Linked DNA regions of Drosophila melanogaster. The protein of the gene in region 3 purifies or fractionates together with the protein of the main gene of each other region. This does not show direct contact. Each region holds a gene or a part of one and is shown on either strand. Other genes may lie near its edges.

Region 1 (10,567 bases), on a different chromosome or scaffold from region 3:
AATCAAGTTTACCGTAAAGCCTTGCCCAACATGAGTATCGACGTCGTGATGCAGCTGCTCTACGGAACGTCGCTTCTGACTACAATCATGGTGGCTCCTTTGGCCACGCTTGACTTGGACGTGGACAAAAAATACCAAAGCACCGCAAAAGACCGCTATTTGGAAGTTATGCTCTACGCGGCCGTTTCACTCGTGCTGACCGCCATGGCGTTAATGCACAGCCTGGTGACGTCGCCGCGTTGGCGGAAGCAGAATTCAGCGAAGATTTTCCTGGCTATGCTTCCCTGGATGCTAGTGTGCTGCATTCATTTTCTGATGAACGTGATGCTGCAGCTCAACGCGATTTTCAACATGGCGACAGAGACGCGCCAAAAGGCTTTGATCTACGCCCTGGGCTTCTATTGCCCCATCTTTGGTTTGGCCCTGGAACAGATGCTCCACTGGAACGTCGTTTTCCATTTGATGACCGACGGGATAATAACAAGCATCTCTAACACCCAACAGCCGTTAGGGAAATTCTAAGTTGGCAGACCGATTTCACTAATTTACAACCTATAGCTCAATTTGTAGTAACTTACGCGTTTATGCTACATAAGATAGATTCATCTTTTGAGCATTGATTTACAATAGGCACCCACACACTTCCACATTTTGATAAGAGGTTTGAGATTAAATGTATGTGTAAATGTATTTCTGTTCTGAGCATGCTGTGTATATAGAAAGGAATGAAACTGGAGTTCAATTAATAAAGCCTTCCCCAATTAACCTTTATATACATACTTATGTAAAGCAACAGGTCCTTAAAATTGTAGGGCAAACATATACAGAAAAAGAAAAACGTAAAAGTCAAAAGAATTATCTTCGGAGAATTCCGAAGTCTTGGATTGCACAGTCTTCAGTTGAAAAGATCCAATCCATCAACATTATCATCCTTCCAAAGGAATCAAGCATCTGAATTGGAGTTTTCCCCCTTACTGTGACTTCCTGCGTACTTAACACTAATAACATTGGTACAGTTTTGGTATAAAACTCGATTAAAACTAAGCGGCACTTTGTTCTCGCGCAATCTATCTTCTAAAATATGTACAGAAGGGAGGAACTCGTCCCTAGGAAGCCTGCAGGATATTCTCTTGAGCCTTGATCACCTCCGTAGCCACTTTTGTACTGGAATGAGCGAGCACCAAATTGCTCTCCACCTTGATCTGTGATTGTTTCTCCACCGGAACATCACCCTGGGATGACGCTAAAGTTTGATTGTGATTTCCGGCGTCATGCTTGGCCTGGTGAACCTGCAACAGACCTTGATTGATGCTGGTGAAGTTGCACTGGTTGCATTTGTAAATGATTGTGGACAGCTCCTGTTCAGGATGGCGGGTCTGAAGGTGTATCTGTCCACGGAGAGCAAGACTATTAGAAACTTGACTAATTATTAATAGAAATCTATCGAACCCGAAAGGCGGTGCTCTGGATGGCTCGGAAGTCGCAGTGCGGGCAGGAGTAGCGTTTACTCTCCTTGTGCGTGGCTAGGTGGCGGCGATAGGCATTGTGATCGCTGGTCTCATGATCACAGGTGTCGCAGCGGAAACGTTTATGCTCCTGATGGCTCCGAAGATGAAGTCTCAGGCTGCTCTTAGAACCAAAACGGCGCTGGCACTCGGGGCATTCCAGCTGTTCGTTTCGCTCTTTGCATAGGTGCTCCCTTAGGGTTTTCTTCTGCTTGAAGGCGGCGCCGCAATCTTCGCAGCGATGCATTACAACGGGATTACCTTCTGGTCCCACGGAAATCTGCTCGTTCGACTGCTTTCCCATGCCCAATCCTTGAGTGCGATGCAAGCGACGGTGATTCTTCAATTGCTTGGTGTTCTTAAATCCCTTGCCACACTGCTCGCACTTATAGTTTCGCTCCTCCGAGTGGATCTTAGCGTGGGTGTTCACGAGACGCGAATAGATGGGCGTCTTAAAGCTGCACAGCTGGCAGGAGTACAGCTCCATGTCGATTTGGTGGGTCCGCCAGAGATGCGTATGCAGACAGTTCCAATTGCTAAAGTTGCTGGACTTGCATTCCGGGCACACAACGGGTTGGTTTGAGCTGAGGGATCCATTGTGGCATCTGCCGTGATACTCCAAAGTTACGGGTGATTTGAAACGGAACATACAGCCCTCCACAAGGCACTTGCCTCCCTCTGGCACTTGATTTGGGCCCAGAGAGAGTTTTCTTTTGGAAGCTGCTCCACCAGAGTGCTTCGCTCCGTAGGGACGGCCCCTGACCGAGGTGCCGCCTCCAAGAAGCGGTGGGTCCACGGCGGCGGGAAGAAGATTATTGGCCACATAGATGCGGGCTGGCTTTTCGATAGCAGCATTCATCTCGGCTGCCAAGGGAACCAGCGGCGGAACCGGCAAACTACCTAAGGCTGCACTTTGAGCAACAGAGGCTGTCCCTTCCGAAGATGTTACCGGTACTAGAGGTGGCACTGTCCCTCGTCCTCCCGCTGCAGTTCCTTCTTCTGCGTTTTGTGTGTCCTCCGGTGGTGCGGCGTACAAATGCGAAAAATCCTTGACTAGCAGATCCACTGCATTGTGAGACAAACCATCGAGTGGGGGAGCATTAGCCACTTCACTGGGTGTAGGCAGAACGAGTCCAGCTTCTGGTACAGCATCTTCCATCCACGGCCAGCACTCCAGATCCTCAGGTAGGTCATAGCCATCCTCGCTAGGCCAACTTTCACTAATAGACGGCTGAAATTCGCCAAGCGTTTCCGTTGGTCCCTTGAGCTGTGAAGTTACTTCCATTGGCTGCTGCTGCACGGGCGGAAGCTCCATCATGGTCATTGCCATCGGTTCTAGATTGGGCACGATTAAGTGCTCCACCTCGGTGCGATTCATTAGGTTTAGTTCGTCCACAGTGCGCAGGTGCAAGGTGCCCCTCTGCGGTGCTTTCAAAATGTCCACGTTTTTGATGAAGATCTTTTGCTTGGTCGTAATGGGAGCCGTAGGTGGCATGTAGTGCTCCAGCTGGACAGGTTGTGGTTCCATCATTGTCAGTGGATCATTCAGAGGAGGTGGCGGAGTTGCCTCTTCCGAAACAAAATCCACACCAAAATCAAGGTCCAAAGCACTAAAACGTGTGTTTTCCACATGGGCGGCAGGTGCTCCATTGCCATTCAGCACAGAATCAAAGGGAAATGCCTCGGAACACATCTGTGCGAGCGGGGCGAGGCTGGGCTCGAATCCTGGAAGCTGACACGTGGGCGTTAGTAGTGTCTCCGACTGGAAGACATCACCATCTGCTCCTCCTACAACCAGGCCACTTTGTCCTGGCTCTGCTGCCGACGGCATGGTGCTATTGAATCCCAGACCGGGCAGAGCAGATGGCAAAACCATCGGTTCCTTGAGGATGTCTACATTGCGGATATAAATCTTCGGCTGGCGCGGCTTCTCCGGCTCCCCGACAACATCAGGAACTTCAGGGAGACTATTGTCCGTATTGACCGAATGGTTCTGCAGCTGGAAGTCGAACGGCAGCAAAGCGGTCTCCCTGAGCACGTCCACGCTCTTGATGGAGATCTTCTGGATGGGCTTTGGCGGCGGAGCTGGTAAATTCGCAGCAGGTGCTGTTGGCATTGTCTGTTCGGTCGGCGATGCACCTACAGCCACACCTTCCAGCAGATCAAGAATGTTAGCGGCGGACCCGCTATCCGGCATTAAGGGCGGGAAATCCGGGAGTGGCTCCCTTAGGCAATCTACGCTTTTTATAAAGATGCGGCTCTTGGGTCGATTTTGGCTCTGCGACATCTGAGTCTGCTTTTTAGTTTGTGCTTCAGTGACTTTTCTGCCCATAAGCGCAAGTGTCTCACTGTCCTCCATTTGATGGTCCAAGCTGAGGTGCAAGCTGAGCGCATCGCTGGTGTAGAAAATGTTTGAGCAGCCTGTCGAAAAACACGTGAAAAGTGAATGCAAATATGATGAAGCATTCCAGCAGAGCACTCATATTGAAGGCGCACTATGCCTCACCTGGACACTGTTTCCTGTGCTGCTCCATATAGCAGTTGCCCTGACTAAGGTGTTGCTGAAGACGCATCTGGCAGAGGCTTAAGAATGGACAATTAGGACAGCGCAGGATAAGAGGCGGACCCTCCTGAATGATTGCCTTGCCCTCCACGCTGGCGCAGCTGGAATTTCGAGTTGGTGGCGTTGGCGTGGCATTCAGGCGATCCTTGGCTGCCGCTTCCGCAAGTTCCGACTTGATTAGTTCCTCCGACTTAATTTCCGCTGTACGCCTGCGGAAGGCATTGCGGTAGCTTTTCTCTGGTTGCTGCAAGTCGGTGGTGTGGATCTGGACAAAGGGAATGCCCTGATTGGGCTGGGACTCCACCGCCACCTCAGTAGGTGATCGATTCCCGCCATCGGCCAGCCACAAAGTAGTTCCAGAAGGGGTGGTGTTTGCAGCAGACGCGGAGGCAGATCCGGATCCCGATCCGATGACCAGCTCTTCGTCAAAGAATCCCCCGAAGTTGGAGTCCTGCTCCAAGGAGTGAACCGGCGTGGAAAGCGACAGGTCTTGGTGCGGATGTGTAGGATGCGGATGCGACAACGGGAGCAGCTGGAAGACACACGGCGTGTTTTTCTGGCCAGAGGTACTCGCTGGTTGCTCACCTGGTTGCCGCCGTAATATCCCGGATAGGTCGCATCGCTCATCGTGGGTGCCTTCCTTGGTCCAGTTGATTCCCGGTGCCGGATTCCGGTTGCCGGTTGCCGGTTTTCCGCTTCCTGGGCACACGCCTCTTAATTCCGCATCACAAAAATTGGCATTACGCAGAAAAAAAACTTTTCATCACAAAATAACTGATAGCGAACAGCTGTTGCTGTACACAGTGTGGCAGCGGTGTTTGCACAACTATATTCGGTCACACTGTCGCGTTATGTTATGTCGTGTGTATAGGCCCTTTATTAAATTGAATAATTTAAGTTACCAATATTAAGACCGAAGTTAAATCAAACGGTATACGAAGACTAAATACAATATAATGAAATTTTTTTGTACTAAGCTAGAATAGTTTAACTAGAGGTTCTATAAATATACCAAAACGTGCTGGAGATATCGCTGTTATCGAAGACTAACCATCGCTAGCGGCTACTGCAAAAAAAAGAGCGGAGTTTCGTGGACTCGAGTGAAAATTGTGAAAATCCATTGTATACGCGACAGAAAGCAACATAAGGCCCCAGAATGCCGCGAATAATGATCAAGGGCGGCGTGTGGCGCAACACGGAGGTAATTATCCCAATAGTCTATCGGTTAACCACACATGGCTTACATTGGCTACCGATTTCATTTTCCCAGGATGAAATCCTCAAAGCTGCGGTTATGAAATATGGCAAGAACCAGTGGAGTCGAATTGCCTCCCTCCTGCACAGAAAGTCCGCCAAGCAGTGCAAGGCCAGGTGGTACGAGTGGCTGGATCCCAGCATCAAGAAGACCGAGTGGTCCCGTGAGGAGGACGAGAAACTGCTCCACTTGGCCAAGCTGATGCCGACGCAGTGGCGCACCATAGCCCCGATCATCGGACGGACGGCAGCCCAGTGCCTGGAGCGCTATGAGTACTTGCTGTGAGTCCAACGCACAACATACTAAGTAGAAAATTTCTGATCCCTTTCCTGCCGTACAGAGACCAAGCCCAACGCAAAGAGGATGGCGAGGACACGATGGATGATCCTCGCAAGTTGAAGCCCGGAGAGATTGACCCCAATCCAGAGACCAAGCCGGCGCGGCCCGATCCCAAGGACATGGACGAGGACGAGCTGGAAATGCTGTCCGAGGCACGCGCCCGCTTGGCCAACACGCAAGGCAAGAAAGCCAAGCGCAAGGCTCGCGAAAAGCAACTGGAGGAAGCCCGCCGCCTGGCCACTCTCCAAAAGCGGCGCGAACTTCGTGCCGCCGGAATTGGCAGCGGAAATCGCAAGCGGATCAAGGGAATAGACTACAACGCCGAGATTCCCTTCGAAAAGCGACCTGCCCACGGATTCTACGACACTTCCGAGGAACACTTGCAGAAAAATGAACCCGACTTCAACAAGATGCGGCAGCAGGACCTAGATGGAGAACTCCGCTCAGAGAAGGAGGAACGCGAACGCAAGCGGGACAAGCAGAAGCTGAAGCAGCGCAAAGAGAATGAAGTGCCCACCGCAATGCTGCAAAACATGGAGCCCGAGCGGAAGCGCTCCAAACTAGTCCTGCCTACGCCGCAGATTTCCGACATGGAACTACAGCAGGTAGTCAAGCTGGGACGCGCCAGTGAGATGGCAAAGGAAATTGCCGGTGAGAGCGGCATAGAGACGACGGATGCTTTGCTAGCCGACTACTCCATTACACCCCAGGTAGCAGCCACTCCACGTACTCCGGCTCCGTACACCGATCGCATCATGCAGGAGGCCCAAAACATGATGGCCCTCACCCACACAGAGACGCCACTCAAAGGTGGCCTGAACACACCGCTGCACGAGTCAGACTTCTCCGGCGTGCTGCCCAAGGCGGCCTCCATCGCCACGCCTAACACAGTGATTGCCACGCCGTTTAGAACCCAACGCGAGGGCGGAGCAGCCACTCCCGGCGGATTCCAAACGCCCTCCTCCGGAGCCCTAGTTCCCGTAAAGGGGGCAGGAGGGGCTACGGGTGTCGTCAATACACCTGCCTACGTGAGGGACAAGCTAAGCATCAATCCTGAGGAGAGTATGGGCGTCACCGAGACCCCAGCACATTACAAAAACTACCAAAAGCAACTAAAGTCTACACTGCGTGACGGTCTCTCCACGCTGCCCGCTCCACGGAATGACTATGAGATCGTGGTGCCTGAGCAGGAGGAAAGCGAACGCATTGAGACCAACTCAGAACCCGCCGTCGAGGATCAGGCGGATGTCGACGCCAGGTTATTGGCTGAACAAGAGGCGCGCCGAAAGCGAGAGCTAGAGAAGCGCTCCCAGGTTATTCAGCGTAGTCTCCCGCGACCAACTGAAGTGAACACCAAGATTCTGCGACCGCAGTCCGAGAAACAGAACCTTACGGAACAGCAGCAGGCCGAAGAGCTGATTAAACACGAAATGATCACCATGCAGCGTGAGTAAACCCAACGTTTCCATTTTAACCCAAGTAACTAACGTCCTTTTTCTTGGCAGTGTACGACTCGGTCAAGGATCCCGTGCCTGGTCAATCGCAGCACAAGTTGGAACAGCTACAAAGCTACTTTAAGGCCAATCCCTACGAGGACATCTCGCAGCAAGAGTTGGCGAAGGCCAAGCAAATGCTCACCGAGGAAATGGAGGTGGTGAAGGAGCGCATGGCGCATGGCGAACTGCCCCTAGACGTTTATGCCCAGGTGTGGCAGGAGTGCCTCGGCCAGGTTCTTTACCTACCCTCCCAACATCGCTACACACGCGCCAATTTGGCCAGCAAGAAGGATCGATTAGAGTCTGCCGAGAAACGGCTGGAGACAAATCGCCGCCACATGGCCAAGGAAGCCAAGCGCTGCGGCAAGATCGAGAAGAAGCTGAAGATTCTCACCGGCGGCTACCAGGCGCGCGCCCAGGTGCTGATTAAGCAGCTTCAGGACACGTACGGCCAGATTGAGCAGAACTCTGTCTCACTCTCGACATTCCGCTTTTTGGGCGAACAGGAGGCCATCGCTGTGCCGCGACGCCTGGAATCGCTGCAAGAGGACGTGCGTCGCCAGATGGACCGCGAGAAGGAGCTGCAGCAAAAGTACGCTAGCTTAGTGGAGGAGCGCGATTCGCTTTACTCTCAAATCGAACATATAACTGGCGTCAGGCCCACGGCCCAGCAACTCCTGCCCGACCAGGAAGCGTAAACCTTCTTTTGGAACCCAAGTCCGTTCTTATTTAATTACAGTAATTACATGCCAGCAAACAGCTATCACCACCTAATATCCCGATCCATATTCCTCGCTAGCGGCCGTACTTCTGGTAGACCCACTCCTTGTTGTCCAGCGGACAGACCAGGCGCGTTTTCAACCAGCGCGCGATGCAGTGGTAATGGAATGCGTGGTTGCACTCGCCCCAAGCCACAGTGCACTCGTCTTGGTTTGCATTCGGGTCCGCCTGGCACTCGATGCACAGGTTCATGATGTGGTTACGGCAGATGGCACAGTTGTCCACTGCTACGTCCCATCCCCACATGGCGTGCGCAACCCATTTCTTCACCACAAAGCGCTCCGTCCTGGCCTGGACAGCTCCTCCACTACAGGATGGCTCTTCGTCATTGAAGTCCATGTCGTGGAAGTCCTCCGTCTCCTCAACCTCTATCTCCTCGGCCATGGTGTGAAATTACGAATTTTTTTTCTTTTTCAAAATACAACACTTATTTTCGTATTCGAATTTGATTTGAACTATTTTAAATTCCATTTGTTTTTGGCCTGACAGTTAATAAAAAAAAGTTGACCACTACCGATTTATCTACGAAATAACAACGGCGAATAATTTTAAAAATAAATGCAGAAAAGAAATTAAACCTTGTGATCATATTAAGTGGGGCTCAAGAAAGCTTATCATCGGTAAACCACTTTTGAATCCCTAAATTTAGACAATTTTTTTAAACAAGAAAGAATGTTATAGTCGAATTTCTCGACTATCAGATACCAGATAGTGGGAGTGAGTTTGAGAGAGAAATTTCAAAATTATCTTGGCATATCGATAGAAATTTGTATTCCTTTTAACGAGTTTAATATACCCCTCTATGAGTAATGGGTATGATAACAAATTACGGTTTTTATAATGCCTTTCTTAAACAAAATAGCTGTTTCCCAAACTCGAATGTCATTATTATTAAGGAAGCTTTACTGCTAACGGGAAGTCATGGCTTAGGCTTAGGGTATATCAAATAAATTCTTTACACGTTCTTCTCAGTTTGGGAAAGGTTTTTTACCCTCTTCAGGTGCTTCTTGCCAATAAAGTGCTGTTGCAAGGTGCTCTCATGGTTCATCATCATGTTGCAGGGCTGGCAGTAGTACTGACCCATTGGAGTGCGATACAAGGCCAGTTCCGCGGCATCTAATTTCTCCGTTTCAGGGATCGGCGCCTCCGAATGATTCTGATCCTGCCGGGAGGTCCTCCAGTTCTTTTGGTGCCTGGCTCCAGCCAAGTGGGCCTGCATTTGTGCAGCAGAGGTGACCACTATTTTACACAGGTGGCAGGTGCGCTCATTATCGTCAGACTTGATCACGCTGTTCTCTGATATTAATACGTCCGTAGGGGAATCTTTGGTTAAACTTTCCGGCTTGCGGAACAGACTCCCTATGCCGTAACGACCAACAGATGTATCACAGTGCCTGGCTCCGGAGGGCTTCGCGACGCCCTGCTCCACACGCTTGTGCTTCCGACCTAAATAGTGCTGGCGGGCGTGCATAGAGGAGGTAAGGTCCAGATTGCACAGCTCGCAGTGAAAGGCGTTTGGGCCGGTTGGTCCTTGCTTGGCCAGCCGCTTCACTGGAGGCGCCTCCAGACCCACCTCCGTGTAGTTCTTGGCCAGCCAGGCGCTGATGTGTCGGTCGTGGGCCTTCGATTCGTAGTGATCCCGGGCGCGCTTCCTCGAGGTCATCTGCACCTTACACAGCTGACAGTTCAGTGGTCCAATAAGCCTGTTCAACTCCTCCGGATAGCTCTCGTCGCGTCCGGGAAACAAGGCCAAATCGCCGTTAGCCTTCAACGAATCCTCCTCCATGCACTTAGCCTTCCGTTTCATGTTCGTCCTGATTGACCCATTATCTTTCTTGTCCGTTCGCTTACCAGGTGCCACCAACCTGTTACTGGTCGAAATTTCTGCGTCTGGATGAGATTCGATACAGGCACTATCCACACGAATTTTGGGGGTCTCTCCCGGTGCAAGGTGCGGAATGTGGAAACCTCTAAGGGATCCGGGGCAACTCATCTCGCGACTAAAATCTATAAGCCAATGCAAAGCTAAAGATGGTCCAAGGGATCAGACGCATGCGTCAAACACTCCCAACCTTCAAATAACTTTCGTTAGATTCTTATATTCGCTCGATAATATTTGTTATGCTATTTAAAAAGTCGTATAATAATAGTAATTCAATAAACAATCAAGTCTACTTATTTTCCAAAAGTTCATAAATTTTCGTACAAGTAAACGTGTAACGATATTTTATAGTTTTTAAATATTTCATCTCTAGGCAAAGTCAATTTTTTGGCGCCAACCTCGGCAGATATTTTGGAAAAATGTACGAAATTAATTATTAACACACAAGGCTCCCCACTGAAGAAATAAAAGACTCGTTTTTTAATTACACATTTTATTGGATTTTTGTTCAGCATAAATACATTTATGAATTGATTTGGTGCTAAAATACTAACAGTTTTATCTTCTCATGTCTATCAGTGTATAAGGTTCGCATTCTCGGTTGCTCTTTGCGTCTTGTTATCGACCGCCAATTATGGGTGGCGCGTAGCGTTGGATGGGTGTAAATAAATTGCCATTTGTTTCGCTTTGTATACTTCGATTAGGTAGTTGGTTCACGTCGTTAACCATTCCGTGGTGGCTTTGTAA
Region 2 (11,103 bases), on a different chromosome or scaffold from region 3:
AAAAGAAATGCTCAAAGTTCTAGTAATATTACAGTTTGAAGTTTTAACTTTGTATTTTTAAATATATCGTGTAAATAATTATATCAATTGATTTGAACAAGGTTTAAAATGCACAGAACTATTCGTCTAAATTGATTTAAAGCGGTTTCCTGAACTTTGTCTGAATCCACACGCGGTACATTTTCAAGCCGCGACAGCGATTAACTTGCAGTCTTCGGTCCACAATGAGCTGCTCCTCCTGCAGCCCCGCTTGAGTCATCATACCCCGCAGTTCTTCCTCCGTGAAGAAGTACACCATGGTGCCGTCGCCTCGCACGTAGAAGTTGTCCTCCATACACTTGCCGCTCTTGAAGCGCAGCTGTGCCAGGTCGTATCGTCCGTAGTCGCGGAAGAGGAGCAAGCCACCGGGACGCAGGTAGCGATAGCAATTGTCCAATACCCGCTGCATTTTCTTTGGCTCAATTGCGGACAGCACAAAAATCATCACAATAATGTCCTGTGAGTTTTCCTCGAAGGGCACCTGCCAATGATCCAGCGTGGCATCCATGACAAACACCTCGCAGCGCTTCTCGTCGAACTGCCGTTGGCTTCGCAGGATTTCAATGGCCCGGGCGGAGAAGTCACATCCGAAAACCTTGAGCTGCGGTTCAGAGCTGTACTGTAGAAGGGGTAAAATTGTGTTTCCTACTCCACAGCCCAGTTCGAAAATGCTACGTGGTTGCAGTACCGCCGAATCCGCCGCCAGAGGAGCTAGTTCGGGGAACTCCGTAAACAGCCAGTGGCGATCCTTGAAGAAGCGGTTGTCGTGAATGCCGTAGAAGGAATCCCAAAACTTGGGGGCGTCTGTCTGAAATCGCTCCTTCTGCTCCGCTTCCATCTTTGAGGTCGAATTCTTGGCTACAGCCGCCTTCGCGGCCAGTTCCTGCTCTTCATCCCATTGCACGTGGTCCCTGTGAATCCATGTTTAGAGGGATTTTCATGAGTACTGAACGGCAGATAAGTACCAGGCGTTAAACTCGAACACCTCTCGCGCGTCGGTGAGCACCCGGCTGCCCGCTCCCGACGGTTTTTTACGCTGGCGAGTGTGTTCCCAACTTTTGCTGGCCAATCTCCGGAGGATTTGCCACCCATATTTACCAAGCATTGTGCTTGAAGACGTCGTCAGCATCCGTGAGCAGGCGGGTTCCGAACTGCGGTCGCTTTTCGTTCTCCGCGGCGGGGTTGTCACTCATATCGGACAGGAATGACGGTATATATCACCTGTTTGTGCGATCCAAATTATATATTTTGGTAAACACGCCGCCAGTGTGGCCGTGCACCGATCCAATAAAGTTAAACCGTTAGTATTTTCGAAGCGGCTCTCTTCCGAGCGGGAAATCGGATGTACCCGTTATCGCCCTTTTTTCCAAAAGCAATTGTGAAATATGTGTTCTATGTGTGTTTAGTTTGTGGCGTGTTGAGTACGCATCGAGTTTTTACCGAAACCCCTTAGAGAAAAGGGAAAAATAAAGTTGAAAATTGCGGGCAAATGTAATCGTGCTGCCAGACCATCAATAGTTTATTTTAGGGATGTACTCGTGACTGAATACCTTGGCGGATATCGTTTCATGGTTAAAATGCATGATATAAAAACTGGTAAATTAAATATGAAACCCGTAGGTAAGTAAAATGAATATGTATTGTTATGTTTGCGACTTATATCCATAATTCGAATGAATAATAAGAATAAGTTTTTGGTGCTCGTGCCGTGCTTTTGCTTCCATCGCTACGTTTTGACTTCTCCACTATTTCCCAGTGGCAACGCCGCGTCAGTTGGTATATCAAAACCGCAAACCAACCTTTTTGTTGTATTGTGCGTTGTTTTTTTCGACGGAGGCGAGAAATTTAAACAATTAGCATTCAGAGTGCTAAGATACAAGAGCTTATTGTGTATACGCAGAAGGCTCGTCGAAGGAGCGACCAAAAGAAACCCATCCAGGGTACCGAGTTCCAGGGATTATTGTGTGCACGCAGCGGTCTGCAGAAGCACCCATAGAAACATACCCTATTCAGCGTTCCATCGAGCGGACGAATCGCGAAAACCCGTTAAAATGATGAACGAGGCGGCACTTGCCAATATGATACCCTACGACACCATCGGATTGTATGAACAGCCAAAGCCGCGCTTCATCTTCAAGATGCCTCGTGTGGTCCCGGACCAGAAGTCCAAGTTCGAGAGCGACGAACTTTTCCGGAGGCTCAGTCGGGAGAGCGAGGTTCGGTACACGGGCTATCGGGAACGAAGCATCGAGGAGCGGCAGGTGCGCTTCATGAACGGATGTCGCGAAGGACACACGGAGGCCAGCTTCGTGGCATCGGGCACCAATCTGCAGCTGGTGTTCAACGCCAACCAGAACCCGTACCTGCACGACAAGGAGTGCGACTTTGACAAGGAGCACGGCAAGGTGCACATCAAGTCCTACTTTATCATGAACGGGGTTTGTGTCCGGTTCCGTGGATGGATAGACCTGGAACGACTGGACGGAGTTGGCTGTCTGGAGTATGACGAGCGGCGCGCCATGCACGAGGACGCCATTCTGCGGGATCAGATCGATCGCTACAACCAGCGACTGCGTGAGTTCGAGGACACTAAGCGCGCCTACCGTGACAATCGACAGGACGAGATGGAGGCAGTGCGACGGGGCGTGGCCTCCGGAGGCATTGGCGTTGGCGCCAGCATGTGGCGTCGTTAGTTGGACCTGTGGACGGCTCCTGGGCCGTCCCATCCGCAGCTGCCTCCCCAGCAGCAGCAGACGCATCACCAGCAGTTAGAGACTCAATTCGCGAATACTCAATATTTCATGGACAACTGAGAATGCTCCGAACCCCTTAAGAGGGCTTTCACTTGAGAGATTTCAATACGATTACGTTAGACACGCTCGAATAATTATGCTCCTAGATTAGTGTTAGATGTAATGCTTACTTTACGTATGCTTTTATGGTATTATACTTACAACTTAGTGTGAAATTAGTGTCGTATCTTTAACTAAAATACATAATTACTAATCTATATGGCATTGTTCATTTTGGAATTTCCACCTTTAAGCAGAGTGACTAAGACTCTTCACTGGGAATTGCCTACCGAGGCTAGGTATCGATCAAGAAAACAAGTCGTTTGGTTTGATTTTATAGCATTATAATATACAGATACTGAACTTTATACATAATAAGCAAGGATCGTGTAAAACTAAACTATGGGGTCTCGCTCGGCGTGTTGGAAACATTTATATTAAAAGCGACAAGCTAGTCCGTCCTAGCGGAATTGCAGGTTTGAAATGCGCAGGCCAATGCTATCCTTGCCGATCTGGCTCACTTCGCAAACTGTGCAGAGATTGCCCTTGAACTGAGGGTCGAAAGAGGAGGAGCAGAAGGGACAGGTCACTTCGGGTTTACCCCTATACAGTGGCTTCCAGCTGATGCCGCAGATTGTGAACGGATTAAACTCCTCGTACTGCAGCTGATGCTCGTCCACGGGATTTACCTCGCAGGCCTGCAGGATCTTGCGCACCTGCTGGGCAACGTCCGGTCGTGGCGCCAGTTCCAGGAGACGACGGGCAAATGAGGCGGCCGTCTTGTAGTTCTTCAGCTTGAAGAACATATTGAGGGCGGTACGCAGGGTGAGGATTTGGTGCACGGGCTGAAGCTTGCAGTGCGTGAAGTAGGCGGCCATCTCGCACAGACGCTTTTGCTCCTCAAGCGTCGACTTGGGCATGCCCTTGCGCACAGTCTCCATCTTCAGGCCAACGATATACTCAGCGCAGATCCTTAAGAGTTGCTGGGCCTCCGCCGCATCTAGCTTCGTGTCCACTACCAGCAGTGGGATGCTAATCAAGATGGAATGGAACTTCTCTACTGCCTCGGAGAACTTTCCAGAAGTTGTCAGTTGGTACCCAGCTTGCAGGCGTGCCACCAAATCATTCAGTTTAATGCCAACCGCAGGACGCTGCAGCTTGATGTTTGTCTCGGAGTAGTTGCGAAGTGGGTAACCACTTAGGGATTGCAGATTCGGATTGGCCGTGTAGCTCGTTCGAGAGCAGGCGTAGTTCTGCAGGAAGAGTGTCTTGAATGGCTGGAAATTGACCACTCCCAGCTGATCGTGCAGTAAACGGAAGGCGGTTTCGAATGATCCGGCCTTGACATGGTCCAGGACCAGAGGCGAGTTGTTGGCCCATTGTTGGGCAGGAGACAAGCCTTTGTTGGGAGCCGCATAGTAGTTGCTGTCGAGGGCTGAGGCCTTGATCTTGGAGGCCAGTTCCTCGGGCACAACCAGGTCATCATCGCCCACATCCCAGCCGGCACCCTCCTCTCCACCCGCACCACCATCGCCATCGTTGCTCAGCGCGTCGTGCATCTCGTCATCTCCGTCTTCATCTAGTCCCAAGTCGGCATCCGCTCCCCAACCATCTCCACCACCATTATGCTCGTCCAACAGTGCAGCATCGGCGTTGATGTTCAGCGCCTGTCGGGCAGTGGCACTGGAGCCAGCCCTGGTGACCATGGCGCCTTCAAAGAAGCCCTTGGACACGGACAGCAACGGCCAATTGGTTTCAAGCTGCTGGATGGGCACTGGTGGCTGCAACAACTGGGCATTGGGATTCACCTCGGGAAGGCTGTTACCCTGCGAGGTTATCGATTCGCCCAGGGACTCAGTGAGCTCATCGAATCCATGAGTAGCGGCTGTGAGATAAGCTAACGAAAGTTGTCCGCAGTTTTTGAGGATGTTTACCCGCTCCTTGACGTCACCGAGAAGGAGGGCACCCTGGTACTGGGCGGAAACATCCTTGCGAATCTCGGCAATCTTGTTCATCTTCTTGAGCTTCTCCAAGTTGCCGGTGATCAGGTAGAGGAAGCTAAGCTTGTCAAAGTTCTTGGTCCGCTGGTAGCACATCTCTACCACCTGGTGGTTTCCTTGGAGCAGCGCACTCTGTCCCAGGCGATCCCAGCAATCCTTGTCATCGAGAGCCTTGGCTGCTTCGAGAGCAATTTCGATGTTACCGCACTCCAGAGCGAGTCCAAATCGGGTTTTCTCATCCTTGACAAAATGCAGTGCCACCTCTGGATAACCCTTTTGCTGCAGGTAAGCAATGATGCTCTGACCCACTAGGCGGGCATTTCTCACCATATGCAGTACTTCATCGTACTTGCGTTGAATCAGGGCAAGCTTAAACTTGTACTCCGTAGGATCGATGTGGAGCACACGGGTGCGGCACTCCCGGTCCAAGCAGAACACTTGGTTGCCCTTGACGCGTGTCAGATAAATGGGTAGGTCCAGCGTACGGATGATGCCGTGGTCCCCGTTTGTAATGGCGTACTTAATGTGGTTGCTAGTGGTGTAGATAAACACTCCAGACTCGTCCCAGGCGCCAGACTTCACGCGGCAGTTCTCCTGCACGGTGCACAAGTACTGAAGTCTTCGGTCGCAGATTGTAACCGAGTGCTTGCAGAGTAGAGCGACCAAGGACATGTCCGGAGACCACACCACGTAGCGGCACTTGGCCAGTTTAATGCTTCCAACGGAGACTAGGCGCTGAACTTCGTACAGTGTGACAAACTCAGGGTCCCGAATGAGCAGCATTCCCGTACCGGCATAGAAGATCTCCTCGCAGAAAGTTGGCAACTTCTTGGTCACCTCATTCTTGAAGTTCTTGATCACCAACTGCTGGTTGCGATCAAGCACTGCAAACCGATTGCGTGCCACCCAGATGGCCGTGATTCCAGAGCTTCGCTTGCTGTCCGACTCACTTTGGCTCTCGGTGTCCTTGGGGATTTGGCAAAGATCGTAGGTGCTGTTCTCCAGGTTGTTGGTGCGCGTGCAGATTAGCACGGCGTTCAGTGCTGGGTTGTACGACATGCTGTACACCGGCGACTTGCCTGGTCGAAGCTGCATAACCACAGTGTCCTTAGTGGTGGTAAAGTCCAGTTTGCGAAGGAAACGTTCCTTGACGTAGTAGAGAATATTCCCGTGGACAGCATATGCAGGACGCTCTCGCTCCAGTTTAAAGACCACCATACCTGAAAGAATATGTATCATTACAAAAAATTCCTATTCCTAAAAGAAATCAACTAACCTCCATCGTGGCCAGCTGCAAACAGATTCAGGGTCGGATGCGCTGTAAGTATCCAGAAGCGCTCGTTGTCCCGCCGGAATGTAAAGAGGCACTGGCGCTTGGTCATGTCCCAGACGCGAATACTGCGATCTTCGCCGTTGGAGAGAATCAGGTCTTGCCTGGGATGGAACAACACGCTGGACACGTTGTTGTAGTGACCGCGACAGGTGTCGACCTCCCAAGCCTTGTACTCGTTCATGCGCCACAACTTCACAAGGCGATCATCGGCACCGGAGACAATCAGCGGCAGGGTGGGATGGAAACTGGCCCAGTTGACGCCACGGTCGTGGCCCTCGAGCACGTGCTTGACCACGGCATCTGCTTGGCCAAACAGATCAGTGGCACCCGGATGACCCTTTAGGTGGTCATCAAGCCCACCGGGCCCGGGAGCCACGTTCTTCTTACGCAGCCCCGAAATGTCCCACACGCGCACCGTCTGATCGAGTGAAGCAGAAACGATCTGATCCTCCGTGGGATGGAACTGGGCGCACATCACATAGTGGTTGTGGCCCGTCAGCACGCAGATGCAGTTGCGCGACTGCCAGTTCCAGATGCGTATGGTCTGATCGTCGGAGGCGCTCAGAATCCATGGGTATTCGTGGTGGAAAGCCACCGTGCGCACATAGTCCAAATGGGCCAGGAGGGTAAAAATGCATCGGCGTTGCTTGTAGTTCCACACCTTGATCTTGTAGTCGTCGCCGCCAGAGACGAAGAGCGGCATCTGCTGGTGGAAGGCCACGCCTCGCACCGGTCCGTCGTGCTCGTCGAACTTCTCGAGGAGCGTGTGCATCCGGTAGTCCCACAGCTGGATGACGCCGCTGTGCAAGCTGACCAGGATCCAGGGGCGCTTAGGGTGGAAGGAGAGGCCCTTCACCCTCGCCGACTTCGACTCGAAGTTGGTCAGCATGGTGGCACTTTTTCTGTTCTGCCTGTAGGTGTCTCAAATTGGATGCACTTCTAGGTGTCGGCTTATCCGTCAAGCGCCCTTTTTTTGCTGGTTCGAGCACTTGCCTGTATCAAAACATCAAGAGGTGGGTGTTAGAACAAACCCATTTTATTGATACGCTACAAGTAACACGTAATATACTGCCAACAATTAATTTTATGAAAAACACCAACCAATCGTCGAAATTGTGACACGTCAATTATCTTCTTCTTCGCGACCCAGTCAGTGTTGCCAGCGTTGGCAGATGTGCATACACTGGGAACCATAAGTTTTCAAAAGTACACACATGAATATGAATGAATTATCATGCTCTCCAGTCTTCTTTATATAGTTAAATATACAGATTTTACGTGATATTTTTGAATATATTTAATCTTCGTCAATAATATTCGAAAATTGAGTTGGTAAATGTATTTCTACGAACACTTTTAGTGACCACTGTAATCGTAGTTTTACAGCACTGGACAAAGTGCATTCTATTCACGGTAACTTCGCTTTGTTTATTTTCTGTAATACCATGGAAAATATATAAATAAGTGACAAAGATGACACTGGCACACCGGGCGCTCTTCACTTGGTTTATCGTCCTGGTCTTCCTGATTCTTCTGTGTCTCCGCCTGGACCCACGCACCACCTGGAATTGGTTCGTCACCTTTACGCCACTCTGGTTCTTCGATGTGATCATTATCATCTACGTGATCATTAAATTTATCCGCAAGTGGCGGAACCTAACCTGCCTGACGGATCTCCTGTTCCTCTACAAATGGAACATTGCCGGCGTCCTGCTGACCATCGCCTCCCAAGTGATGATCTGCCTAACGCTGGAGTACCCGCAACAGATTCCCATATACGTGACCGTTGCCCCGGTCATCCTGCTGCTGAGCACCGCCATCTTCTATGTTGGCAGCAGGCTGGGAAAACGAGAGGGCTGGATACAGTAATATTAAGCATATATTGTAGGATTAGGTGTACATAAAGTGAAAACTCAAAAGCCGTATTTGCTTTGGGTGGCCCGACGGGTCTGCCGGTTGGCCGACCACATGGCCTGCAGCTCGGCTTCGTTGGCCTTCGCCTTGTGCGCCAGGTAGGTGATCTGGTGCTTGCGCCGAGTCCCTGCCACCGGCTCCTCGTCCGTCAGCACGCCGGTCGGTTGGAAGGTGGTGGACGAAGCCAGAGCCGATCGCATCCATTCCTCGCGATCAGGTAGCACCTGAGACCCAGATATGTCGATCACCTGCATCTCCTTGGCCTCCTTCCGCCGGCGCTTGGCATTTTTGCCCACCAATGCGTCCATGGCCTCTGCGTTTAACTGTTGCTCATGGTAGCGCTTTTGTGCAATCTGAGACTGCTCTTCCTGAAGTCGGGCGGCTTCTGCTTCGGCTGCTTCCTTCTCGGCTACCTCCTCTAGGTACTTGCTACTGGCTTCCACCATCTTGGCCGCTCGCTTGGCCACTAGAGCGCTAATCTCGTTGCTGCTCACCTCAGGCAGCTTTTGCTCGGAATTCAGGGAGAAAAAGTCTCCAGTGCCATCTTCGTCATCATCTTCACTATCGCTGGCATTTACCAGCGAAGTGGGTTTACTTATAGGTTTGGATTTTGTTGACTTCAAAGCGTCTTTTGTCTCAGGATTCTTCTTGTGCCCGGCCTTAGGGCCATCTACGCCTTCGGTGTTGTGTGCAGCTCGTCGCTGCTTAACTGTATCGGGAACAAAAGCTGGTGCTGCTCGAGGCTGCGCAGGATTATTGCTTAGACTGGAAGCAAGAGTAGTGCTGGCTGATGGGTAGGCTACCGCGGATGAAGAGTTCTTGGAGAAGTTGCGCTCCGACTTTGCTTGGGGCAGCAGACTCAACAATCCCGATCCCTTGGGTACATTGGGCTTATCAACTTTGTTCTTAGCCCTGTCAGCTTTCTCCTGGTCTACATCTGAGAAATCTCTTAGTGAAGGAATGCTGATTTTTACTTTTCCCTTGACTGGCGGCGGTGGAGGTTTCTCTATTTCTACGGGCAGCGCCTTTTTGTGCAGAAACTCATCGTCTTTCTCCTCTACAATGGCTTTTCCTTTCGCTGCTGTTCGTGGCATGGGCAGGTTGGCAAAGGCGGAAGTAACCTGGTTGTCCACATCCTCATTTTCCAGATCCTTAGCGGGAGCAGTGACTTTTGGTTTGGGTAAGGCTAATAGCAGTCTTCCGTTGGGCGGCTTTAACTCCTGAAGGGACACTTCCTGGGGAACGTAGTCGTCATCTTCATCACTAATGTGACCACTGGTTGATTCCCGAGCTAGATACGCTTCACTTGGTGTGCTCGGCTTGGCTTGGGGTTTTATTACTTCCACTTGTGGTACAGAATTTTCCTCTTCGTTCTCCGAATCTTCATCAGAACTGGCAGCATAAGCAACAAGCGACATGTTTATAAAATTGCTAAAGTTAAACAATACAATACACAACAGCTGTTTAATGTGCCCGGACTCTAGAGTTGTCACCTGCTTGGGCTGCCATGGTTGGCAACTCCCTTTGCTTAAGCGCTGTGCTAACCAACACTGTTAAAATTACCGCTAAAACGTAATTTCGAATTTAAACTTAAAATTATATAGTGCGTTCAATTCGTTCGTTTTATTTATGATAGCATTATACCTGCAATCCTCAAAGTATAATATTCGGAGCTGTAAAAACCCTACGGATTATAAAACAAACCTCAAATAGGATACTTATAAGTGCTATACCTGATCCTTATTGTGTCCAGATGGTTTCCATCCTTGATTACCAGGCGACAATTAGGGGATTCGTTAGGTAGCCCAATCGCTCCCGATTACCTGTTCTACAACTTTTTTTTTTTGTTTAAATAAGGCGGTCAATTTTAACATTGATCAGTACAACTATATCTTTCGGAGAATACAGTTATAACATTAGACATGCATCATCACCAGAATCTCGGAGACGCGGCCGCCATGAATGGAATGATCCCGCCATACGAAGCCATGGCTATGTACGAGCAGCCCAAGCCCAGATTCATCTTCAAGATGCCCCGCGTGGTGCCTGACCAGAGGTCCAAGTTCGATAGCGACGAGCTCTTCCGCCGATTGAGTAGGGAGAGCGAGGTTCGCTACACAGGATACCGGGAACGTGCAATGGAGGAGCGCAGGATGCGGTTTGTCAACGACTGCCGCAAGGGCTATGCGGAGATATCGATGGTAGCTTCAGGAACTAATCTGCAGCTCTACTTCAACGCCAACCACAATCCGTACGCCCAGGAGCAGGATTGCGATTTCGAGCGGGAGCGGGGCAAAGTTCATTTGCGTTCTAGTTTCATCATGAACGGGGTGTGCGTCCGCTTCCGGGGCTGGGTGGATCTGGACCGACTGGATGGCGCTGCCTGCCTGGAGTTCGATGAACAACGAGCCCAGCAGGAGGATGCTCAGCTGCAGGAGCAGATTCAAAGCTACAACCAGCGCATGGCTGAGTCCAGGAGAATCTACCACACGCCCCAGACTCCACCCGAGGATCACCATCACAGAGGTGGGCCTGGTCTGCCTAGAGGACCAATGGGATGGTAGTGCTATATATTACCCTCATAGCTTTAAGTAACATCTAAGTAAATCAACAATAAATATCTGAAACCCATTGATCGTGCTCTTATAATACTGAGATTATGTTTAATACACTAATGGTAATATCTGCTCTCAATTACTAAAACTCTCATTTCACAAGGAGTTTCCGAGTTTTGTGTGTCATTCATTTGGCGAAAGCCACTCATGTTCACCTAATGATTGTTTATCTGGGCCTCCTTAAGGGTTGCTAGCCGGGGTCTTTGGCCTCATTTGCGCCACTTTCGGAACAACCACCACCCGAGCCGACTGCCCGAGGATGGTGAAGTGGGTCCAGCTGCCGTTCCGCCATTCCGCCGTGCTCTCCACTCTCCGGGGTGGGCCTGTCGCGGCTGTGGCTGCGGCTGTCCTCTCTTGACTCTCGATGCGGCCAGAGCACCGGTCCCGTGAGCACGTATTGATTTTCCGCC
Region 3 (8,413 bases):
TCGCAGCGCCTGCAGAAGGAATTTAACTTATGAGATACATTCAGCTAAATCGGTGCTCTGGAGAGTTTGTTAGCTGCCAATGGCCTGGTAGACACTGCTACTACCCATCGACTTCTGGATGCCGAAGATCACGCTGTATTGAAAAGTATTCGCTTTAAACTGGACTTGAACTGTGCTTGGTAGGACTTACGCTATCAGAATGTAACACACAAAGTAGAGAGCGGCGCTAATAAAGTTGAAAGCTCCGGGATAATTTTCCAAAGTTGCCTTGTAGACGGTTGTGTACAGAGGTGCAGCGCCCAGTGGCGAAACCGATTCCATGGAGGTGGTCAGAGCAAAGATCTTGCCTAAATTATTTCATATGGTTTTAGTTAATGGTATTTGCAGGCTAAACACTTTGGGTACGTACCAACTTCAGTCGCGGGTGCAACGTGCGAGAGAATCGCGCGGCACATAGGTCCCATGACGCCACGCATCATACCCAGCGTCATGCCCAGATACAGCTCTTGCCAGTAGACTGCTGTGGCTCGAACCGTGCTCTCCAGAACACAGCAAGCCAGGGAGAGCATTGCCATGGTTACGATAGACATCTTTAGAACGCGGCGCAATACCAACATGCCAACGATGCTGCCCACAATCTGGATCACGATGCGGGATGCGTTGAATAGACTGAAGTCCTTAATGGTCCAGTTGAATTTATCCTGCACGAACATGTAATTTACAGTGCTCTCTCCCTCTGAAATCATTATAAATTAACTCATATAATCTTAAGTTTGAATTATGTTACCCATGTCGAAAATGGCTATCGTAAGGGCAATCATTGTAAGCCAGATGATTGTGCGATCAAAGTTGGGGCGCCTCTTAAAGCAGGTGCGAATCAGGTCCGTGACCAAATCGAAACGGAAGAACTCACGGACTCGCGACTAAAAATGAGGGAAGGAGTGTTGAGATATTCGTTTCTTCTTAGCTATAGAAATTACTTACTCCGGTGTGAATGTCACCTGGATTTAGGCTTTCAGGTACAAACAGAAGCACGTACATCAAGGCAAACATCATCAGGCTACCAGCAATGGAAAACAACACCAGAGCATTTGTGGCAGCATAGATATAACCGCTGGCCACATTGCCCACCATTATGCCAGCACAGAGGGAGGCTTCATTGAGGACCATTCTTTCAAATAATATATCAAAATGAAATGGCATTCTTTGGATTAATAAATCAAGACTACCCATACTCACCTCAGAGCCTTCTTTCGCTCCTTGGCCACATCGGATATGTAGCAATAGATTCCAGTAATCAAGGCGCAAGTTCCGCCGCTTACGACGGAAGGAACCGAGGAAAGGAGGAACCACCATGGACTTATATTCGTGGACCTCGTTATGTAAGTGATTACTATCAGTATGAGTGCGCCAGTGAGGTAGCCTTTAAATACAATAAGAGTCATTTGTACAAGATGCAATTAAGATGTCCTGACTGATGATTATATACCCGTAAAAGTTGTCAGCAGGATTGGCCGCCTTCCGAACTTGTCGGACCAGGGACCCAGGAACAGACTCGCGAAGGCAGGAATAATGCTCTCTAGCAGAGAGGTTGTCATCATAATATTTGCAGAATACGTCTGTACTATCACCTCGACTTCCTGAAAAAACAGAAGTTCACTTTAGTAAACTGCACAACTGTACAACTGTGGATGAGTCAATGTGCCATATCTCGTACGTATAATTATAATTTTAACGCTTTCCTAGTAAATACTTCGATACTGCTTCGAAATGCAGTAACAAAGGATTTTGCTTACTTCTATTCCGGCCGTTGATAAGCCTCGACTGGCGTTCTAATTACCTTATCTCTAGCCTCCAAACAATGGCAGTTTTGCATTAGGTTGAGACGATTTGCTAATTTGATTTTACTTTGTCACGTCGGATGCTGATATAGTAAGATATACTAAGTAGGTCACGTCTTGGAAGAATATCGGCGAGCCAAATGCGAAATACATTGTTCTATACAGCAAAGGTCATAATAGTAGCAATTACTCGTAAAACAAGTTAATATTGTGATACATTAATTGTGGTTTTAAAATTGTTCAGCAGTTTTTGTAACTTAAACTTCAGTTTTTGTTTACAGTTACTGGATAAATTTGTTTAAAATTGCCATTTTCCTCATCGCCATAAAATCACAACACGAAACGCCCAGCAAAGCAGCAAAAATAATTTGCACAGAGATAAAAACCAGGCAACGAGAACAGAAACTACACAAAGTACAGATATCAAATTGTACATGATGTGTATACTATAAGGGTCAAATTAAATACTTACTTTATCCGCGTCCGATCCGCGATCAATGCCCAGCAGCGGTTCACATTGCGTGGCATTGAATTTCTCGATGGTGATGCAGGTTTGGTAGAGAATTTGGTTCTGATAAACCGCCCCTAAAACGCACACAAAGTTAATTCAATGATGCAATCCAATCGGTTTTACTGCCCTATAGCCATTATACCAATTAAATTTCTGGCGAAGAAGATTAAAAAAACTGCGGGCTCCAGGATGAACCAGCGATAGCTGCTGTAGTCATGAGGCGGCGGTACCGGAGGCGGGTCCACCTGCTCACTGCTGGCCGCAGATGATGCGTCCAGTATGCGTGGTGCCGAATCTTCGCCAGTCTCCACATCGGCCACCAAAGCCTCCGTATCAGAGCGAGGCATACTGCCGTTCCGTTCCGTTCCTACTTGCTCGCTATCGAGAACGGAACTCGTGGATGCGTCTGGCTTACACCAGTCTACCGGAGATAATGGAATTTACAATTCATTCACCAGAACGCTGCGCAGTTCCCTGAAAGTCTTCCAAACGCGACGGAGAGTTTTCAGATACTAAAGCTTCAGCTGCTTTACTGCTGATTAACGTGGATTTATTGTTGCTTAAATCCCTGGTACGTGTATTATTTTCACAAGTACAGCTGGCTGGATTCTCCCGCAGTTAACGTTACTCTATTCGAAACTTTCTAAATGCAAGCAGCAACAGCTGATTGACTTCTTCTTCTTCTGTGTTATTGTTTTGATTTCGATTTTCGATTCTTAGTGCTAGGGATGCCAACTTGCGGCGAATTGAGAGTTTGTGGTTTAAATTTTCTGACACTTTTTACTGGTTAATTAATTCAATTTATTTATAATTTTAGTAGCGTCGTCGGTCACGCTCTCCTCGCGAGTCCCGTTCCCGCTGGTCGTGACGGCCACGGTCACGTTCTCGCTCTCGTTCCCTATCCCGGCGATCTCTGTCGCCGTCCCTCTCGCGCTCCCTGATACTGTCGCGATCTTGGCGCTCTCGTTCGCGATCGTGGCGTCCATTGTTTTGCCGACGGTCATAGTCCTCGTTGTGGGTGTCCCGATTGCGCACCCTATTTCGCTGGCGGTCGTAGTCTTCCAGTTCGTCGTAGTAATCCCGGGAACGGGCGCTGTTGCCCTGCCCAGATCTTCGCTCGCGCTCCCGACTGCGGGACCTTGACTTGGAGCGAACTCTCCGTGGTCGTCTCACTGCTGTCGAATTCTCCTTAGGCCGGTTGGTCTCGTCTGCCTTCTCCTCGTCGCTGGGCAGTTCGTCGTCCAAGTCCTCATCCAGCACTGACACCTTGGGCTCGATTTCGTTGTTTTCCTCGAGAATGGAGCGCTTCTGGATGCGGGGCAGTATAATGTCGCAGACACGGTCGTTGCGCAGCAGTTCGTCAATGTACTCATCCATGTAGACAATCTCGAACTGGCCGGCGCGATTCTGGCGGCGCAGCTTTCGATTGTCTATGTACAACGGCTCCAGGTACTTGTAGCAGTCCAGGGCAGCTCCTGTGAGCCGTAGATAGAAGGCTCCCAATGCTCGAACGTACTTGAACTCCTCGTTCTTGATAAACTCCACTACGATGTCCTTTTCCGGCTGAATCTGCAGCATCTTGAGTGTGAGGCAGAGGAACTGGGTGGGCTTGATGTTGCCGCCGTAGACGCCTCCGACGAATCGCAGCTCCATTGCCTTGTCCACCAGAAGCTCCGCAGTGAGAGCAAAGCATTGCTCCTTCCAGTACTTAGAGTCGTATATCCTCGAACGGATGATCTTCTCGATGAGGTACTGCGGATTGGTGCCGTGCACGTTTTTGGCCTCCTTCACCGTGCGGTTGGCCATTTTCAGTTGAACCCTTGTTCCTTGTCAATCGTAACTCAAATAGGACTTTTCAATCCAGAAATTCGGGTATCTATTGGCAGCAGTGCAAAATGTGAAAATGCACCGAATATATTTATTTATTTTTCGGCGTTTGCTAACCAGAGTGGCCAGCTGCGTAAGGGAGAAATATGCCACTCCGCCAAGCGCATACACAAAGGCGATAACGATAGGGGACGGCAATCGGTATCGGGTGACGCATACGAACAACAGCTCCCAGACAACCAAGAAACGCAATAGCAGAAAAAAACTCACTTGTTCGCTAAATTCGGGTGAAAAAACAGATCAGCCAGGATGAGTTTCTTCGGGAAGATGTTCGGCGGCAAGAAGGAAGTGGCCCCCACCACCGGCGAGGCGATACAGAAGCTGCGCGAGACGGAGAACATGCTTATCAAAAAGCAGGAGTTCCTGGAGGCCAAGATCGAGGACGAACTGAATATAGCCCGCAAGAATGCGTCTAAAAACAAAAGAGGTATGAGAGGAGTGCGCCGAGGTCCTTGGCTTCCTAGTTGGTCACTCAAATGGGCCAAGGGGAAATGACTCATTGCTTTGTTTTTGTTGCGGCCGCGAGGCCTGCTCCCAGTTAATCAGTATCCCATACTGCCAGCAAATAGAAAACTCAATAAACAATATGTATCTCTTTGCCTTTTCACCCGCATACCATTCGATGCCTGGACGTGTCCGCAAATCGCTCAGAACGTAATATAAACATTACTTTTAATACCCAAAACAAACTCAAGCCATGCAGTAGAGTAATTTCAAAGCACGCATTGCGAATTGGCCAAATCATATTTCGGATATATACATAAGCCAGTCCTCGAAACCTTCTAATTCCTCCACTTCTCACATTTTCAGTGGCCCTGCAAGCACTCAAGAAAAAGAAGCGGCTGGAGAAGCAACTCCAGCAGATCGATGGCACCCTGTCCACAATCGAAATGCAGCGCGAGGCTCTGGAGAGCGCCAACACAAACACTGCCGTCTTGACCACGATGAAGAATGCCGCGGATGCCCTCAAGAGAGCCCATCAGAATATGTGAGTCATGGATTTGTGCCATTGTATCAACCAGGAACTAACTTTCACTTTTATGCAGGGACGTGGACAAGGTGCACGACATGATGGATGACATTGCCGAGCAGCAGGACGTGGCCCGCGAGATTTCCGATGCCATTTCGAACCCAGTGGCATTCGGCGCCGATCTGGATGATGAGGATCTCGAGCGGGAACTCGACGAGCTGGAGCAGGAGAACTTTGATAAGGAAATCATTGGCATACCCGAGCCGACGCCCACATTGCCAGAAGCACCCACAGAAGATTTGCCCGAGAAGGCCAAAGAAAAGAAAAAGGCGACAACCACGACTGCCGTGGAGGATGATGGTGAGTTCAGTCACTGCATGTGGATCTACGTTTGGTAATTAACGATTAACTTGCGTTACAGATGATCCAGACATGAAGCAGCTTTTATCCTGGTCCAACTAAATCAGAGAGCTATTGAAATCTCCTTACTGTTCTGAAGATACACCCTATCGTTTTTGTTTAATTTAATAATCAATACTGCTGTTAATTAAGCAAAATTTTAGTTCGAAGCGAGGGAGAGAATACAAGGCATTAATTCCTTTGGCAATTCAACAAATGGTACATAAACTAGGAATGTGATTTTAAAATAAACGAAATAAGCATAGTCAGGCCTCACATGAGCAAAAGTAGGTATCAACGTAGTTTCATATTTGATTTGTTTATTTTGAATAACGCTGATTGGCCATCAGGTGTATGCAGATCTAATATTCCAACAAAGAAATGTAGCTTTTTGATAAAAACCCAAATATGTTTTGTGGCACTCATCTTTCCGCAGTCTTAGCTTTGTATCGAGCGATTCAAACGAAAATAAAAACATGAAGCCTCTCGACTGCAGGTAACTCAGTAGCCGCGAGAGGCGCAAAAAAACATCAACTAAAATATTTTATTTATATACACTTGTTCCTTACAAGCAGGTTCTGAATAAAACCCCCCAAATGTATCTTTCTTTGTCTTATCAACGCGCGGATAAGAGAACATCTTATCTTACGAAAAACCCACAATACCACTATTTTAATCACGATACACCTTTAAGTTGAATGCATTCTTGTGTATACTTTTATTGCAAATCGATCGGGTGTACATCAATGTGATTTTAACTATGGCTTGGGCAATCTATCTACTACGGACTTTGCTAGTTGGGGGTAGTCAAGTAGGATGGAGGCGCTCAGGTCTGCTGCCTCAGACCCTTTACATATCGCACCGGAACCTCTGGCAGGTAAACGCAGACGAAGAACATCAGTGGTCCGAACGCAATCATGCAGATCAGCCAGTAGATCAAGCCCAGGATTGTGATGGCGTCCATATAGAAGGAGGAGGAGAAGGGATCGATCGGACAGCACGTACAATGAATGTCTTGTGTAAAATCGTAAATAAATAACTAGTATCACTAAACACCGGACTCGTCCAATGGAGATGGTGCAACAAGGCAAAAGGCGGTTGTTGCCAGTGACAACGCTCCGATGTTCCTAATAGGGTATCAGATATATATATATAGCTGCAGGTCACTTTAGACACGGATCAGGACTCATCCGACTGGTGCTCCGATCCACAATCATCTGTTAATCTTCAAGCGCGCCACCTTAAACGAAATGAAACGAGAGTTGTTATTGCATCAATTGTGGTATGGCAATTGCTAACGCGATCGCGAATCTTACAGCGTGCTGAGAGAATGCCCAATGGTAACTGCCCAGCTGCTCCACTGAATCACGCACTTATGTACACACCACCTGGCAAGTCCCACGCCCAGATTGGTTATTTTCGGGGCTATCCCCGGACACTAACATTCCCCGATCGTGGCTTACTCAGCTGTTCGCAGCGCCAGTTAATTCGCAACTGATTCTTAACTGGTTATGCAGTTCCAGACCAGATCCCCCCAAAATATCAATATCGCCCACCTCGCTCAGAGCTCAGAGCCAACCTGGCCGAGCGATCTACGTTCAAGGTGAGCCAACGAATGAATCTATGACCGCACAAACTGGTTTGCCAGAACATCGGCTAGAGAACGGCGGCTACGCTCCTCTGGCATTTAATTAATCCCACTGATCGAGCTTAACCCCTGTTCATTCGAAAATTGCAGGCATTGAACGGCTATCTGGTCGGAAATTACTGCACCCTCCGAAGCCATTTACTCATGGGCTACTACGTCTGATAAGGCGGTTGCAAGATAATCAAAATATTCCCTGTGCCAAGTAAACAGGGCCATAAACTACATAGGAACTGCTCCAAAAACGTGATAGAAATGGAGAAACTAGGGAATACGAAGGGAAAAGGTACCCTGTGTGCTACTAGACTGGTTTATATAACAACATTGGGGTCATTGATCGAGCTATTTGACCAGATTATCCACTATATATACTTTATACTTTCCATATATGTATATGTATATAAGTAAGATACAAGTAAGTTACTCTCTGAGGCTACGTAACTATGTGGGAAACCTGCTTCAATGATATAAAAGATTAAAAGGATCATTTCAATCTTATCTTGATTACAATTTCTTATTCATTCATCCCTTGAATACAAAGATCTTTTGATTAACAAGCTAATCTACTATGAATCATTCTAATTAGTGCTTAACTATTTATTTTCTGAGTAGTGGTATCTATTCTTATTTCCAATTTGGAACTGCCCAACGGGAACACAAATAAAGATGTCAGTCAACTCAAATTCCTCCTATCTAATCTGGCCCTTAAAAGAGGTTTACTCCAACCAACTCACATGATGTAGAAGTAGTTGTCACTGTCCTTGCGCTTCGCATCGCACGGATTGGCGCTCTTGCTAGAGACCGAGCTGGTGGCTCCTGGCTCGGGATCCGTGTGCTGGGAGCTGGTGCTCCAGCTGCGACCCCAGCGGCCGGCGACTGAGGAGCCGGGCACATTGGCCTGCCTGTTGCTGGACAGGCTGCCATCCTTGGTGGAGCCGGCGAAGAACGACTTGACGCTATCCATGGTGCGACCCTCGCTACAAATCTGGTTCCGATTGGCCGTCTGAGTGTATGTGCGTCGAGCCTCCGCAAAAACGGCCGAAATTGATAAAGCTAAAAATATATATGCGAAGACACCATAATTTATTTATTTTGTCTGAAATCTTGTTTTTTTCGGTGGGCTCGTGCCCCTCTAGCTGTTTCCAAGTGCGGGGATCTTC

The links.
Region 1: the proteins of Prp38 (region 3) and Cdc5 purify together in Drosophila melanogaster (affinity purification with mass spectrometry, with the first as the bait; one large-scale study listed by BioGRID). This does not show direct contact.
Region 2: the proteins of Prp38 (region 3) and alphaCOP purify together in Drosophila melanogaster (affinity purification with mass spectrometry, with the first as the bait; one large-scale study listed by BioGRID). This does not show direct contact.

The regions. Positions count from the first base shown.
Region 1 is NT_037436.4:355,786-366,352, reverse strand, and holds Cdc5 (cell division cycle 5), read left to right. Parts: upstream 1-4,969; 5' UTR 4,970-5,224; coding exon 5,225-5,269; intron 5,270-5,338; coding exon 5,339-5,604; intron 5,605-5,663; coding exon 5,664-7,108; intron 7,109-7,167; coding exon 7,168-7,856; 3' UTR 7,857-7,953; coding exon of another isoform or gene 7,954-8,322; 3' UTR 8,323-8,502; downstream 8,503-10,567. Other genes in the region: CG13884 (uncharacterized protein), read left to right, coding at 31-522; CG1233 (uncharacterized protein), read right to left, coding at 1,107-1,388, 1,450-3,926, 4,012-4,600, 4,654-4,695; Roc1b (regulator of cullins 1b), read right to left, coding at 7,954-8,322; CG1231 (uncharacterized protein), read right to left, coding at 8,894-9,931.
Region 2 is NT_037436.4:1,637,905-1,649,007, forward strand, and holds alphaCOP (coat protein (coatomer) alpha), read right to left. Parts: upstream 7,296-11,103; 5' UTR 7,266-7,295; exon of another isoform or gene 7,158-7,265; 5' UTR 7,054-7,157; coding exon 6,108-7,053; intron 6,052-6,107; coding exon 3,293-6,051; 3' UTR 3,162-3,292; downstream 1-3,161. Other genes in the region: Mettl2 (methyltransferase like 2), read right to left, coding at 137-950, 1,005-1,168; Bgb (Big brother), read left to right, coding at 2,091-2,732; CG13919 (uncharacterized protein), read left to right, coding at 7,638-8,033; CG17249 (uncharacterized protein), read right to left, coding at 8,078-9,496; Bro (brother), read left to right, coding at 10,001-10,642.
Region 3 is NT_033778.4:9,139,873-9,148,285, reverse strand, and holds Prp38 (pre-mRNA processing factor 38), read right to left. Parts: upstream 4,331-8,413; 5' UTR 4,159-4,330; coding exon 3,166-4,158; 3' UTR 3,135-3,165; downstream 1-3,134. Other genes in the region: CG30344 (uncharacterized protein), read right to left, coding at 70-133, 191-347, 410-736, 788-923, 985-1,171, 1,240-1,423, 1,490-1,640, 2,314-2,426 and 1 more; shrb (shrub), read left to right, coding at 4,489-4,666, 5,050-5,227, 5,286-5,569, 5,631-5,671; CG44286 (uncharacterized protein), read right to left, coding at 6,435-6,572; CG8788 (uncharacterized protein), read right to left, coding at 6,836-6,848, 7,988-8,217. UniProt on the Drosophila melanogaster protein: Required for pre-mRNA splicing.